3 linked regions of the Drosophila melanogaster genome follow. The protein of the gene in region 1 interacts with the protein of each later gene in a pairwise test. Each region holds a gene or a part of one and is shown in the gene's direction. Other genes may lie near its edges.

What was found.
Region 2: the proteins of CG9522 (region 1) and CG32201 interact in a two-hybrid assay, tested with the Drosophila melanogaster proteins (one large-scale study listed by BioGRID).
Region 3: the proteins of CG9522 (region 1) and CG11570 interact in a two-hybrid assay, tested with the Drosophila melanogaster proteins (one large-scale study listed by BioGRID).

Annotation. Positions count from the first base shown.
Region 1 is NC_004354.4:14,845,933-14,850,789, reverse strand, and holds CG9522 (uncharacterized protein), read left to right. Parts: upstream 1-1,981; 5' UTR 1,982-2,011; coding exon 2,012-2,147; intron 2,148-2,293; coding exon 2,294-4,008; 3' UTR 4,009-4,318; downstream 4,319-4,857.
Region 2 is NT_037436.4:18,607,680-18,612,381, forward strand, and holds CG32201 (uncharacterized protein), read left to right. Parts: upstream 1-1,940; 5' UTR 1,941-1,949; coding exon 1,950-2,158; intron 2,159-2,208; coding exon 2,209-2,360; intron 2,361-2,557; coding exon 2,558-2,708; intron 2,709-2,762; coding exon 2,763-2,959; intron 2,960-3,011; coding exon 3,012-3,640; intron 3,641-3,695; coding exon 3,696-3,861; intron 3,862-3,923; coding exon 3,924-3,982; 3' UTR 3,983-4,183; downstream 4,184-4,702. Other genes in the region: CG18231 (uncharacterized protein), read left to right, coding at 39-190, 325-475, 531-727, 782-1,311, 1,458-1,608, 1,668-1,741; CG32199 (uncharacterized protein), read left to right, coding at 4,299-4,417, 4,527-4,702.
Region 3 is NT_037436.4:11,956,169-11,959,319, reverse strand, and holds CG11570 (uncharacterized protein), read left to right. Parts: upstream 1-1,550; 5' UTR 1,551-1,595; coding exon 1,596-1,596; intron 1,597-1,657; coding exon 1,658-1,740; intron 1,741-1,801; coding exon 1,802-2,506; 3' UTR 2,507-2,597; downstream 2,598-3,151. Other genes in the region: prc (pericardin), read left to right, coding at 1-198; CG43294 (uncharacterized protein), read right to left, coding at 517-947, 998-998; CG7248 (uncharacterized protein), read right to left, coding at 2,598-3,151.

The DNA of each region.
Region 1 (4,857 bases):
TTTATATCAATAGGGATTTTCAACTCTGGCACTTTTCATGCTAATCAATTTGTGGCTTCATAATCAAAATCTGTGAAATACATGAAGTTGTCCGCTTGTTTGACGATTTTTTGTTTTGATTTATTACACGCCTTTGTTTTTGAGTTTCTCTCGATCTTTTTATTGTTGCGGAAATGATTTTTTTTTTATTCATCACTCTCGTTTTTTTTGCGTTCGTTTTTTATCTTGTCTAACGAACTTAGCCGGTGTGAATAATTTGTTAGGTGTTTTGTTCAAGCAATTTTCGGTGCTGAGTCTTTGGATTGATCTTGGTATAATTCGCATCGATTTGACCTTAGAATTATTTATGTATGTAGAGTGGGTATAAATCAGTCGAAAATTGAGAATAATTGCTTTGGTATAAGTATATCTTTCAATATCCCCAAGGGTAGGCTATATTAAAATTCTATTCAAATCGAAATGAAACGAAAAGCTTTGAGCTCAGCTTAAAGCTCTTGGATTTTATATTTTTCGAAGAATTTCAAAGCCGGCTTGTGATTCTAAATCACATTCGTCACTACGTGACTAGCCTTTGACAGTGCTTATTAAATTTAATATATTCACATATATTCTATAAACTTACATGTGCATATAGAAAACAAGGCAATTTACGTACAACTCAATTTATTTGTTGCACAAATTTTATTTCATTTACTTTTGACTAAATACCGAGTGAGCTATAGGCTATCCTATTTCCCATTGAAAACTCATGAAAACATTTCCCTTTCCTTTCGAAAAAAGTCACTAGACTTTTCATTAACACAAATTGAAATATTCATGAATCGAGGGGGCGGTTTGAGCCGCTCAAAAAAAAAAAGAAAAAGGCGAACACAATAGAGACAAATTTTGAATGCAATTGCCATGACCAAAACATGGCCCTTCCTCCGAATTTCACATCAATGTCCTCTGTGAAATCCCAGTCTTGTTCACATTTTGGTTTCATGTTCCCCTTTCGGCTGCTTTGGTTTTGTAAGGGCATCCAATGACTTTTATTGTGGGATTGGATGAACTGCATCCATATGCTGGGGTTGATACCAACTGCACTGAGCCACCCCTTTTATACATTTTTTTATTTTTGGCTAGACCTAAAGTCGTTTAATCGTTTTTGGTTTTGTTTTGTTTTGGTTTTTTCTTGATTATAATACTCTATGGGGTGGCTTGAAATATATATTAACCCTCGAGTGCCCGAGCCGCTGGTGCTTCAATCTTCAAAGATTTAACTGACAGTCCGGCATAAAAAATAAAAATATAAACAAAGCCAGCACAAGATGCCCATCCAAATGCCATTGAACCGAGCTCAGATGCAGAAGAAACACAGAGAGAAAACTAATGTATATAATATATGTATTTAAAATATTGCAAAAATCATTAATTTTAAGAAAAACTAATTACAAATTGCTGAAGAAATTAACCATTTACCATGGGTGTCTTTATCAAATCAAAACTTAAATGATCTAAATTTTTGTTTTCTGCATTAGAAAAGAGACAGAGGAACAGCAAATAAAAGAGAGGCAAGACCGTAGAGATGAGCAAGCAGAATGCGCAAATTAGCAAGTGGCAATAAAAATTCTGAGACAATCTCAGCCTGTTTTGGCCCTACAAACCTGGCCACCAAGTCAACCAACTCATCTCAACAGTGGAGGAAAAAAAGAAGACGTAGTGATGCGGAGAAAGGCGGCGCGAAAGAGAGGGGGGTATAGAGATCAGTGAGGGAGAACCAAACCGGCAAGATAATCCACAGTGGAGCAAGTTCCATTTGAAATAAAATAATAAAAGTTTCAATTAATGTTCACTAACTAACTTTCCACGCCCATAAATAAAAAGCGCAATAATAGTAAAATATAAAATAAATCACATATCTAGATTTTTTTGAGACTTTTAAAACTCGTTCCACAGTGCGTTGGCAGACGTAGAGGTCCAATATCACGGAAAGCTCGGTAGCCACAGAGTTCAGTTACCGGCCATCGCAACCATGGAGAAGCTGCTGCTGACCCAGCTTCTGTTTCTGCTCCTGATCCCACTGATCCACTCCCAAAGGAGCTCCCAACTGGACGAACTGCGGCGACTGGGATTGGGAAATGTCGTCAATGTGCCATTCTTCAGCGATGGTGAGGGTTTATTCAAATCATGGAAATATTCAAGTACCTATATGTGCTCCAATATAATAAGCGTATTTATGCCAGAGAGTTCCATGCTTTTAGTACTGGAAAATTTGTAATCGATTTAACACATATATTTTAAAATCTCCTTGCAGTTCCCCAAAGAAACTATGACTTCATAATAGTTGGAGGCGGAGCTGCTGGCTGTACATTGGCCGCTCGTCTCTCGGAGAATCCCAATTGGAGTGTGTTCCTTATCGAAGCCGGAGGAGTGGAGAACATAGTGCATCAGGTGCCATTACTGGCGGCCCATTTGCAGTCGACTGCCTCCAATTGGGGCTACAACTCGACGCCACAACGCCATGCCTGTCGTGGAATGCCCGATAACAAGTGTGCCCTGCCGAGGGGCAAAGTTCTGGGTGGCACTAGCTCGATCAATTACATGATCTACAATCGGGGCAATCGTAGGGATTTTGATGCCTGGGCGGCAGCTGGAAATCCCGGCTGGAGTTACGACGAGGTGTTGCCCTACTTTCTGCGAAGTGAGCATGCACAGCTTCAGGGATTGGAGCACTCGCCATATCACAATCACAGTGGTCCCTTGAGTGTGGAGGATGTGCGACACCGGACGCGACTTGCACACGCCTACATTAGAGCTGCCCAGGAGGCGGGTCATCCGAGAACGGACTACAATGGTGAATCCCAGCTGGGCGTTTCCTATGTGCAGGCCACCACACTGAAGGGCAGGAGGCACAGTGCCTTTCGTGCCTATATTGAGCCCATAAGATCTAGGCGTCATAATCTGCACATTCTAACACTGGCTAGAGTCACCCGAGTTCTGATAGATGCAGCCACCAAGTCCGCCTATGGAGTGGAGTTGACCCATCAGGGCAGAAGCTTTAAGGTGAAAGCCCGCAAGGAAATCATTCTATCGGCGGGTGCCTTCAACTCTCCACAGTTGCTGATGCTGTCGGGGATTGGGCCAGAAGATAACCTCAAGGCCATTGGAATACCCCTGATCAAGGCACTGCCAGTGGGTAAGAGAATGTTCGATCACATGTGCCACTTTGGACCCACTTTTGTGACCAACACAACGGGCCAGACTCTATTTGCCGCTCAATTGGGCGCACCGGTGGCCAAGGAGTTTCTACTGGGCCGGGCAGACACCTTTCTGTCCAGTATCGGTGGCGTAGAGACGCTCACCTTCATCAAGGTGCCGTCGGGCAAGAGTCCGGCCACCCAACCCGATGTGGAACTCATCCAAGTGGCCGGCAGCCTGGCTAGCGATGATGGCACTGCCCTGGCCAAAGGAGCCAACTTTAAGCCCGAGATCTACGAGAAAATGTACAAGAATCTGACGTTGAGGCAGCAGGATCACTTTAGCTTCCTCATCATGCACTTCAAGCCCGCCTCCGTGGGTCGCCTCTGGCTGCACAATCGCAATCCACTCGAGTGGCCACGCATCGATCCCAAGTACTTTTCGGCTCCGTCGGATGTGGAGAACTTGCTGGAGGGCATTAAGGAGGCACTCAGAATCTCCAAGATGCCGGCCATGCAGGCGATTGGAACCAGATTGTTGGACAAGCCGGTGCCAGGTTGTGAGAACTACGAATTCGCCTCGGATGATTATTGGCGGTGCTCCATACGCACGCTATCCTACACACTGCACCACCAGGTGGCCACCTGTCGCATGGGCGCCGAAAGTGATCCCACCACCGTGGTCAATCATCAGCTAAAGGTGCATGGAGTGAGGAAACTTCGGGTGGTGGACACCAGTATCATACCGTTTCCACCCACCGCTCACACAAATGCAGCGGCATTTATGATTGGGGAAAAGGCGGCTGATATGATACGATCCGAATGGAGTTGATTAACTCCAGATGAAGATCACCAAATCAGCGATTTATGTAAAGGGGTTAATAAAATGCGAGAGGAAAGTTTGAAAGAAAGCAAACGGGTAAAATCGTCACACGTTAAAAGCATTCGACAATTCTTTAATAATTTAAAAGATTGTGTTCCATACATAATTTTAAATCAGTAAGAAAAAAAAAATCACATTTTCATTGGATTTTAAAGGGTATCATATATCATTATTATTTTCAACATTTTGAAAATCTTTAATTCAAATTCATAAAATTAATAACATTTTTTTTTTTATAATAAATGCCATCGAAAATCTTTATAATTGACTTTTAACTCAATTGCCACCCGTTTTCGTTGAGTGTAGCGCCAAACGGGGTCTTCAGAACGGTTCGGGTCAATCCAATTTGGACCACGTCATGACCTAGCTTAATAAGTTCCCACCGATCCGTTCCGGTCTCGAACTGAACCGAATCCGAATCGGGCCAAACGAGGCATCCCAAAAACGGGTTTACGCACTCCAAGTTCAATGGCTCGTCAGTCTGGCCGACAAAAAAATACCAATAGAGCGCCGGGATTGGGTATGCCTCATCGATGATGTATGTACATATGTATGTATATACGATATTGTTGTTATTTTACATATTAACTTGAAGTGCATTTAGGGGCCCAACGCTGGGAGAACACGCGCCAAAGTTAAATGAACCCGCAAATGGTAGACGGCACTTAAAAAGTGAGAATCTTGTCATTCTCCATTCGCATTTGGTCAAACCAGGAAATGTGGCTATCATTTTCTGGATACCCTATAGTTTTAAGTTTTTTTTAATTTTCTTACAAAACTTGCAGCAATATATTTTAC
Region 2 (4,702 bases), on another chromosome or scaffold:
AATGATTTACAATTGTATATGCCACATGTTATCCACAGTTATATCGACTCGGTTGACTACGAATTCCAACAAAGTTTTGAAGATCGAGAGAAATATGTCGGTAATCCCATTAATGCATTTAGTCTAGTGAGACGGACACATCAAGATCTACCGAAATGGCACAACTATTCACAGCAGATCGTGGGAATGGGTAAGAGTATTTATCCCAATTTTAAAGAATTTATTAAATTTTCATATGAATGAGTGGTATTGACAACAGCATTAGCTTGATCACTTTATATTGCTCAAAATACCGTACTCAAATAATAATTCAATTTTTTTTAGAGGAACTGTTTGCCTTGGAGGAAATTATAGCCAAGGTACCGGATAAAAAGGATATGGCATATTCACTGGGAGAAATGCATCGGATTGAACAGATTTACGATTTGGAAGCCATTGAGTTGGCAAGAGGTCGTATTCAGGGCAAGCAATATGAGTATAGGAAACATTTTTTTTTTTGTTATTATCCATTCAATATGATTACTTTTTAGCTTTCGGCCTTCTATTCGGGATTGTGTTGCTTTGGGAGAGCACAAATTTAAAAGGGAGGACTACCAACGGGCTTCTATGTGGTTTCGCGTGGCCATCAAACATGAGCCCGAAGGAAATGCCGAGATTATCAACAGCATTCTTGGAGATCCCAAGGTTAATTTGTATACTTTGTACGCCAAATCAATGCTCATATTCGGTAAGGAGGATGAGTCAAGAAGGCCTATCTAATCTTTCCCTTACAACCATATAGGCATGATCAAGTCAAATCCTTCGATGACAATCGCAGAAGCTAAGAAAATATCCTACGAAGCTCTGAATAAGGCCAGCCTAGCAGATATAAAATCTCTCTTAAATGAGTTGCTAAGTCAAACTGACGATGAAATTGTTTACGAAATGAATGTTAACAAGACAAAACCCTCAGACTACGAAATTGGATGTCGTGGCCAGTTTCTTAGGCGAAGGAATCATGTTTGCACCTATAATTTCACCATAACCGAATTCTTGAAACTAGCTCCCTTGAAACAGGAAGTTTTAAATTGGGATCCTTACATTGTCATATATCACGATGTTCTTAATGACGACGAGATCGATAAGTTGAAAAACCACTTGAATGATACTGACGCGGTGGAAGTCAATCCTATTGAAAAACGCATCTTTCAACGCATAAACGAATTGACACGACTTAGTTTTGAACATTCAGATCAACAAATAGTATCCAAAAACGGTCCTCGAACGCACAAACATAAGAAGGAATATTTAAAAGGAACATTACTATTTTTTGTAAGTACAGTGTACTCAATGTGCAATTTTAATTGGTTACATTTAGTTTTGCAATATAAGATTCTCTTTTGATTTTATAATTGAAACTATCCTATTGATAGAATCTGCACTAACTATTTATCCAAAAAATATTTACTTCTAACCAGCTTAACAATGTGGAACTCGGTGGTGCTATGGTTTTTCCAAAGTTGAAAATATCCGTCTTTCCTCAAAAGGGCAGCTGTCTCTTTTGGCATAACACACTTGATCCTCGCAGTGAGCCTTTGGAATGCCCAGTTCTTCAAGGAAATAAAAGGGGTACATGAAAAAATGGAAATCTAATGAAATAAATTTGATTGATTTAGATTTCTTTTTAGTTATCACACAAAAAGGTGCATACAATGGACGACCTATGCAGTACAAGAAAGCAAAGAGTAACCAAAAGTTTTAAATAATTTTAGATAAAACTTTAAATAGCACTTAATATTTGTAAAATAAAATAACTTTGCAATAAAAAAATAAAATAACCCGATAGATAACGGTAGCTAATAAACAAAAAACGTAACTAATCAATTCAACCAACTATAACCTTAGAGAATCCATTTAAGTCAAGAAGAACTTACAATTGTTTAAAGAAATGTGAATACTTTTTAGTTATAATGAGAAAGTATCATAGTTTACTCCCAGTTCTGCTTGGTTTTGCAGTTCTAAACAGTTTTGTAGGATGTGTCGAGGATATTGAGGAAAAAGAACGATACAGCTCATCTACTGTGGGACTTCTGAAACTGCTCAAAGTGGAAGAAAAATTCACCGATAACCTTTTAAACCAAGTTGATCAGCTAGGAGAAAAATTCGAAGCACTTCGAATGTAACACAACCTAAAATTTGTTTTTATCACAAGTAAAAGAAAAATTTTAGGTACTTGTCGTCAGTGGGTTATGAATTACATCGAAGCCTCAATGAAAAAGTGCAATACGTTTCAAATCCCATAAATGCATTTTCACTGCTAAGACGCACGCACGAGGATTTACCAAAATGGCACGAATACTTTAAAGAAGCCATTGGAGAAGGTATGTTGTAACTAGAAACTAGTATTAGTCGTAGCTAGTACGTAGTAACTAATAAGTAGTAACTAGCAAGTAGAAACTAGTTTGTAGTAACTAGCAACTAGTAACATCAAATTGAAATAGAGCTCTATTAATACTTTGTAGTAATATATACTAATATACTCTACTATACTATATAATATACATTTTTATATATACAGGAAATCAGAGTATTCTGGTTGACCTTGTGAAAATGGTTCCGAACGATGTGGACATGTTGTCGGCCATGCATGGAATTCAACGCATAGAAAAAATATATGACTTGAAAATCGACGATCTGGCACAAGGTGTTTTGCAAGGAGTTCAGTACAAGTATATAGAATAGTAATTAAAATTGGAGAATTATTAGCGAAATCGAATCTGCAGCGTTCAACTTACATATCGCGACCTCATAGCCATGGGAAATTCGATGTACCAGCAAAGCGACTATCAGACAGCAGCCAAATGGTATCGAATTGCTTGCAAACGCGAATTGGAAAATCCCGAACAATTATTTATTCAGATTTTGGGCGACCCATCTGAACACCTTCATCGCCAATACATTAAATCCCTCTTCAAATACGGTAAGACTAGGCTTTATTGTTTTCTCCTTTTGCTTATATCAACTAATTGTAGGCTCTACAACATCTGAGCCTTCGAAGTCCATTGAAGAAGCCTTTATAATGGTACAGGCCAGTCAAGAGGAGCTGGATAATATTATGTCTGACCTGAACGAACCGCAGAACGACGTTGAAGTAGAGAAAGATCTGTATCAGGTAAAAAGAAGTCCTTCCAACTGTGAACTTGGTTGTCGAGGACTGTATCGCCAAAAGACGAATCTTGTGTGTCGATACAAAAGCACTGCGAATACGTTTCTGCGATTGGCTCCTCTAAAATTGGAGGAAATTAGTTTGGATCCATTTATGGCAATGTATCACGAAGTTCTGTACGATTCGGAGATTCGTGAACTTAAAGGACAATCGATGAATATGGTTAATGGCTACGCCAGCCAGAGAAATGGCACAGAAATCAGAGATACAGTTGTCCGATATGATTGGTGGTCAAATACTTCATTGGTTCGGGAGCGCATCAATCAGCGGATAATTGATATGACAGGATTCAACTTCTTAAAAGATGAAAAACTACAGATCGCGAACTATGGATTGGGCACCTATTTCCAACCGCACTTTGACTACTCGTCCGATGGTTTTGAAACTCCAAATATTACGACGTTGGGAGATAGGTTGGCAAGCATTCTTTTTTATGTGAGTAAAGATGATTGCTTTCCCTTCAAATATATATAAAAATTCCAATTTACAGGCTAGTGAAGTTCCACAAGGAGGTGCCACTGTTTTTCCGGAAATTAATGTTACGGTCTTCCCACAAAAAGGCAGCATGTTGTACTGGTTCAATTTGCATGATGACGGAAAACCTGACATAAGAAGCCTACACTCGGTGTGTCCTGTTCTCAATGGCGACAGATGGAGTAGGTTAGCTTATTCATATATACGTACGATTGTACTACATATAGGAAGTTTTCTTTTACAGCGCTCACAAAGTGGGTTCCTATGTTTCCGCAAATGTTTAGCTTCCCATGCAAATCGTAGTAAATACAACTCTAGTTAAAAAATGTTTTTTTTTAGATTTCATGCGAGCAATATTATAAGATAGTTACTTGGTTTCATAGTTAAAAGATACCAAAACAAATCTTAAACAAACGAATTTTTTGTGGCGGAACCAAAAATGTATCAGCCATTACCAATATACCATGAAATTGTTGATTAGTCTAATAAATAGAACAGAAATTCAGTGCATTAGTCTACCCAAGTCAAGATGAAGTGGTTCGTGCTTCAGATATGTCTTGTATTCATTTGGGTTCCGCAGAACTTTTGCAAGGAAAGAAATGAAACGTCAGAGGAGAAAATGATATACAGCACATCTGTGATGAGCATGATGAAACTTTTGGAAATGGAAGAATCTCTAAAAACGAACTTAGATATATACGTTCAGGAAATGCAGTCCAAGTTAGATCTGATTAAATTGTAAGTAGGGTAAATTATTTTTTATTCAAAAAAAATCTTTTGAAATGTGCTATGAATTATACTATATAATAAATTATATGAGACACATTTTATTGTATATTATTTTCAGATATCAAGACTCGCTGAAACGAGTAACTTTAACAACGCTGGAGGAGAAGGAAGAGTATGTGTCCAATCCTCTAAATGCGTTTCCCATGCTCAGACGCCTCAATCAAGATTGGCCCAAATGGCTGAGATATATAAAATTGGCTATAGCTTCGAAGAAAATCAAAGAAATGGAAGTGC
Region 3 (3,151 bases), on another chromosome or scaffold:
GTCACCGTCACCAAGTCAGTGACAGGCAGCATGGACAACACAAAGAACCCACCGCAGGAGAACAAGAACTTCCAGTCGACCTATTACACCAAGTCCTCGACCTGCGGCTATTTCACCTTCTCTTGCAACATTGTCTACGGCGCCAATGGAAGGAGCAAGATCTGCCGTCCCAAGGCGCCCACCAATGGAAAATGCTAGGGGAGCATAATACACATCCCTCTAACCACACCACCACACCCATATTATAGTAGATCAGTTCCAGAGGGGCTCAATTTTAGAACAGCTTAACCAACTGCCATCTACAAACCACCTATTTGTATTTTGATGCAGCTTGCTCTTGAGCACTTAAGTGTTTTTTCGCATACAATTAAACGGTTTCACTGCCAATTCTTGAATATTTTGTACGATTTGCAACTGTAATTAATATTTAATAACAAAACACAATATGAAAAAGAGAATTTTGTTTCGTTATCTTAATTCCGGAACTGCTTGTGCGATGTTGTTTCAGAAAACCCTCTAAACACACATCTTATCGCATGTAAGGAGCTGAGAATTCCAATAGAGATATTGCGGGCAGCACATTACGAAGGGTAAATAATCACACCGAATAAACTTGGTGCAATCCGCTGGGTAGGGTATTAGCTGGTTGAGCTTATTCTCGCATAGTTTCGTAAGATCGGAATTTTCTGGTTCTTTAATCGGTGGAGAATTGGGATAGGAGTTGTTCCAATTCGTTATCGGATCTATGGAGGAACAGCCAACCGGAGTCTGCGAATTGCATTGTAGTAGCTGTGAGTTCCAATAAAATTCCGGAGGACAGTCAAGCAATCGGGTCTCGTAGTACCGATGGCAGTCATTGGGAAACGGCCATCTCTGCACAGTTTGGGCCATGCAAAATCCAGAGAACACGGCACATAGTAAAACAATTAGTGGTAACTTGTTTAGCACTGATAAAAGTGAAAATTTAGTAATGTTATGAAAATATTTAAGTTTGTACTTTTCTCTCTGCCTCGCGAAGATTTCTTAGTCTGATACCGATCCGATGTTTCTGGGTTTTTATATATCATTGCTAAGTAAATACATATTATTGACAAATTGATACTATGACTTTAGAGGAATTTTATTTATTGGCTTTCATATCATAGCTGTCCTTGAAAAGATAAGCTTGTCCGGTCAAGTGGATGGGAAAATAACTCGTAAGATGAGTACTAACTGTTGCTCACCAAATTCAAAAACCTATATTAGTAATTGGTAGTTCGCGAAATTTGAAAATGTGTTAATCTTTCTGATTAATAAGAGGATCAGTTGGATAAAACCAGATGTCTGTTGAATTTTCATTATTAGGGAATGTATAGAATAGTAATTTAGAAGATCAGACCTGGGCAGTAAGAATTCGATATGTACACATAGCATATCTAGGGGAAATTTTTTTTTAAGATTTGACTTTCATTGTTTACGCAAAATGATGTTCGATAAATAAGTGTTAAGCACTTGAACTTGATAAAGATATCCAGATTATTGCTGGTATAAAAGGCCGAGTTTTTCCAAGTTGTAGCATCCACTTTCTTGGAGCTCTTTCAGCAAACAACATCAAAAGTAACAAGACACATTCAATTTTGAACTCTTAAGGCATTGAAAAGTTTATTTTTTTTTGCAGTGCGGCAAGGATCTGTTGTTATCTACCTAGGTTTGTTGGCTTTCATTGCAATTGTCGATTGCCAGGAAAACAATAATCTCGTGGTAAATGTGCCGATCGGTTAACCAGTATAATGTCTAGGAAAATAATTTTTTACATTTCTAGTCCATAGTAACCGACCACTCTATACAATGCCCACCATTTGACGATCCCAACCATAATGTGATGTTGCCATATCCCAATGACTGTAGCAAGTATTACGTATGCCAAAAAGGACGAGCCTATGAGCAACAGTGTCCTCTGAATTTGTTCTGGAGCCAGATGACCTACCGCTGTGACTACAAGGAGTACTCCAACTGCAATACGTATATTCCAAGTCCCAACCATGATGTTGAGGTCATATTTAGTGCATATCCCGGAGATTGCAGGCGATTCTACGAGACACGTATCCTTCGCTGTGAGCAAAACCTCCAGTGGAGTTCAGTATACCAGAGATGCGTTGTCCCACAGTATGGCGATTGTCAGAACTCTCCTGTGACCGTGCCACCCGTAGTCCCCTTTACCCCACTGCCTACCTATCCACCCGTTCCAACCGTTCCCGCAACCGTGATACCTTATGATCCCATGCCCACCGCTGGTACTCCACCGCCTATAACTCCCATGGAATCTTTACCTCTGCCAATTGACGTCCAATCATTGTGCAATAACAGTCCTCCCAATGCGTACATTCCTTATCCGGGCAGTTGTAAGAAGTTTATACATTGCGGACCAACAGCAACCATTCTTTCATGCGCAGGCTCCTCGAATTGGAATCCTGCCCAGCATGCCTGCACCACTTACAGCAATGGGTGCCAGGCTTCTTTAAATTGAAACCAGAGCTTTACCCAATCAAACAGAAGACATGAAGTTACAACATTTTAATAATTACTTTTACAAAAGCATTCAATAAAAGATATTGTGATTACAATTCTGTAACAAAACTTGCAATCGTTTTTAAGGACTGCCATAAAGAAAACCCTAAATCATCTGATTCGGTTTTCGGTGAAATGTGCAAAGCACTTGGATTGCAGCCAGCCAGGTGAGGATCCGTACAGGTAAGAATGATGGGATTAAATTCTTCTCCCTCCGGGCACGCATAACCCACCGGAATGGGGTCTTCACAAGCAATGTACTTGCTACAGTTCCCAGGATAGGGCACCAGTGATCCCTCTGCCTTATCTGCACAAATTCCATTCGGTGAAGGCTTCTCTGTGGTTGTTGTGGTAGTAGGAATAGTTACGGGTGGGATTGTTGTAGCTGGAATAGAACAGTTTGCAAACCAAGGAGCCATACACCTTTCCAAGGCGGCACTAAATTCCTGACCCTCGCGACAGTCATAAACGATAGGATCGGGTTGAATACATTGTATAAACTTGGAGCAGTCATCCGGATAGGGAACTAGTTTTCCCTCAGGAGCTCCATCACATGGATCTGGTTCTGAGCCCGGAGTACTTGGTGTTATTACCGTGGTTGGAC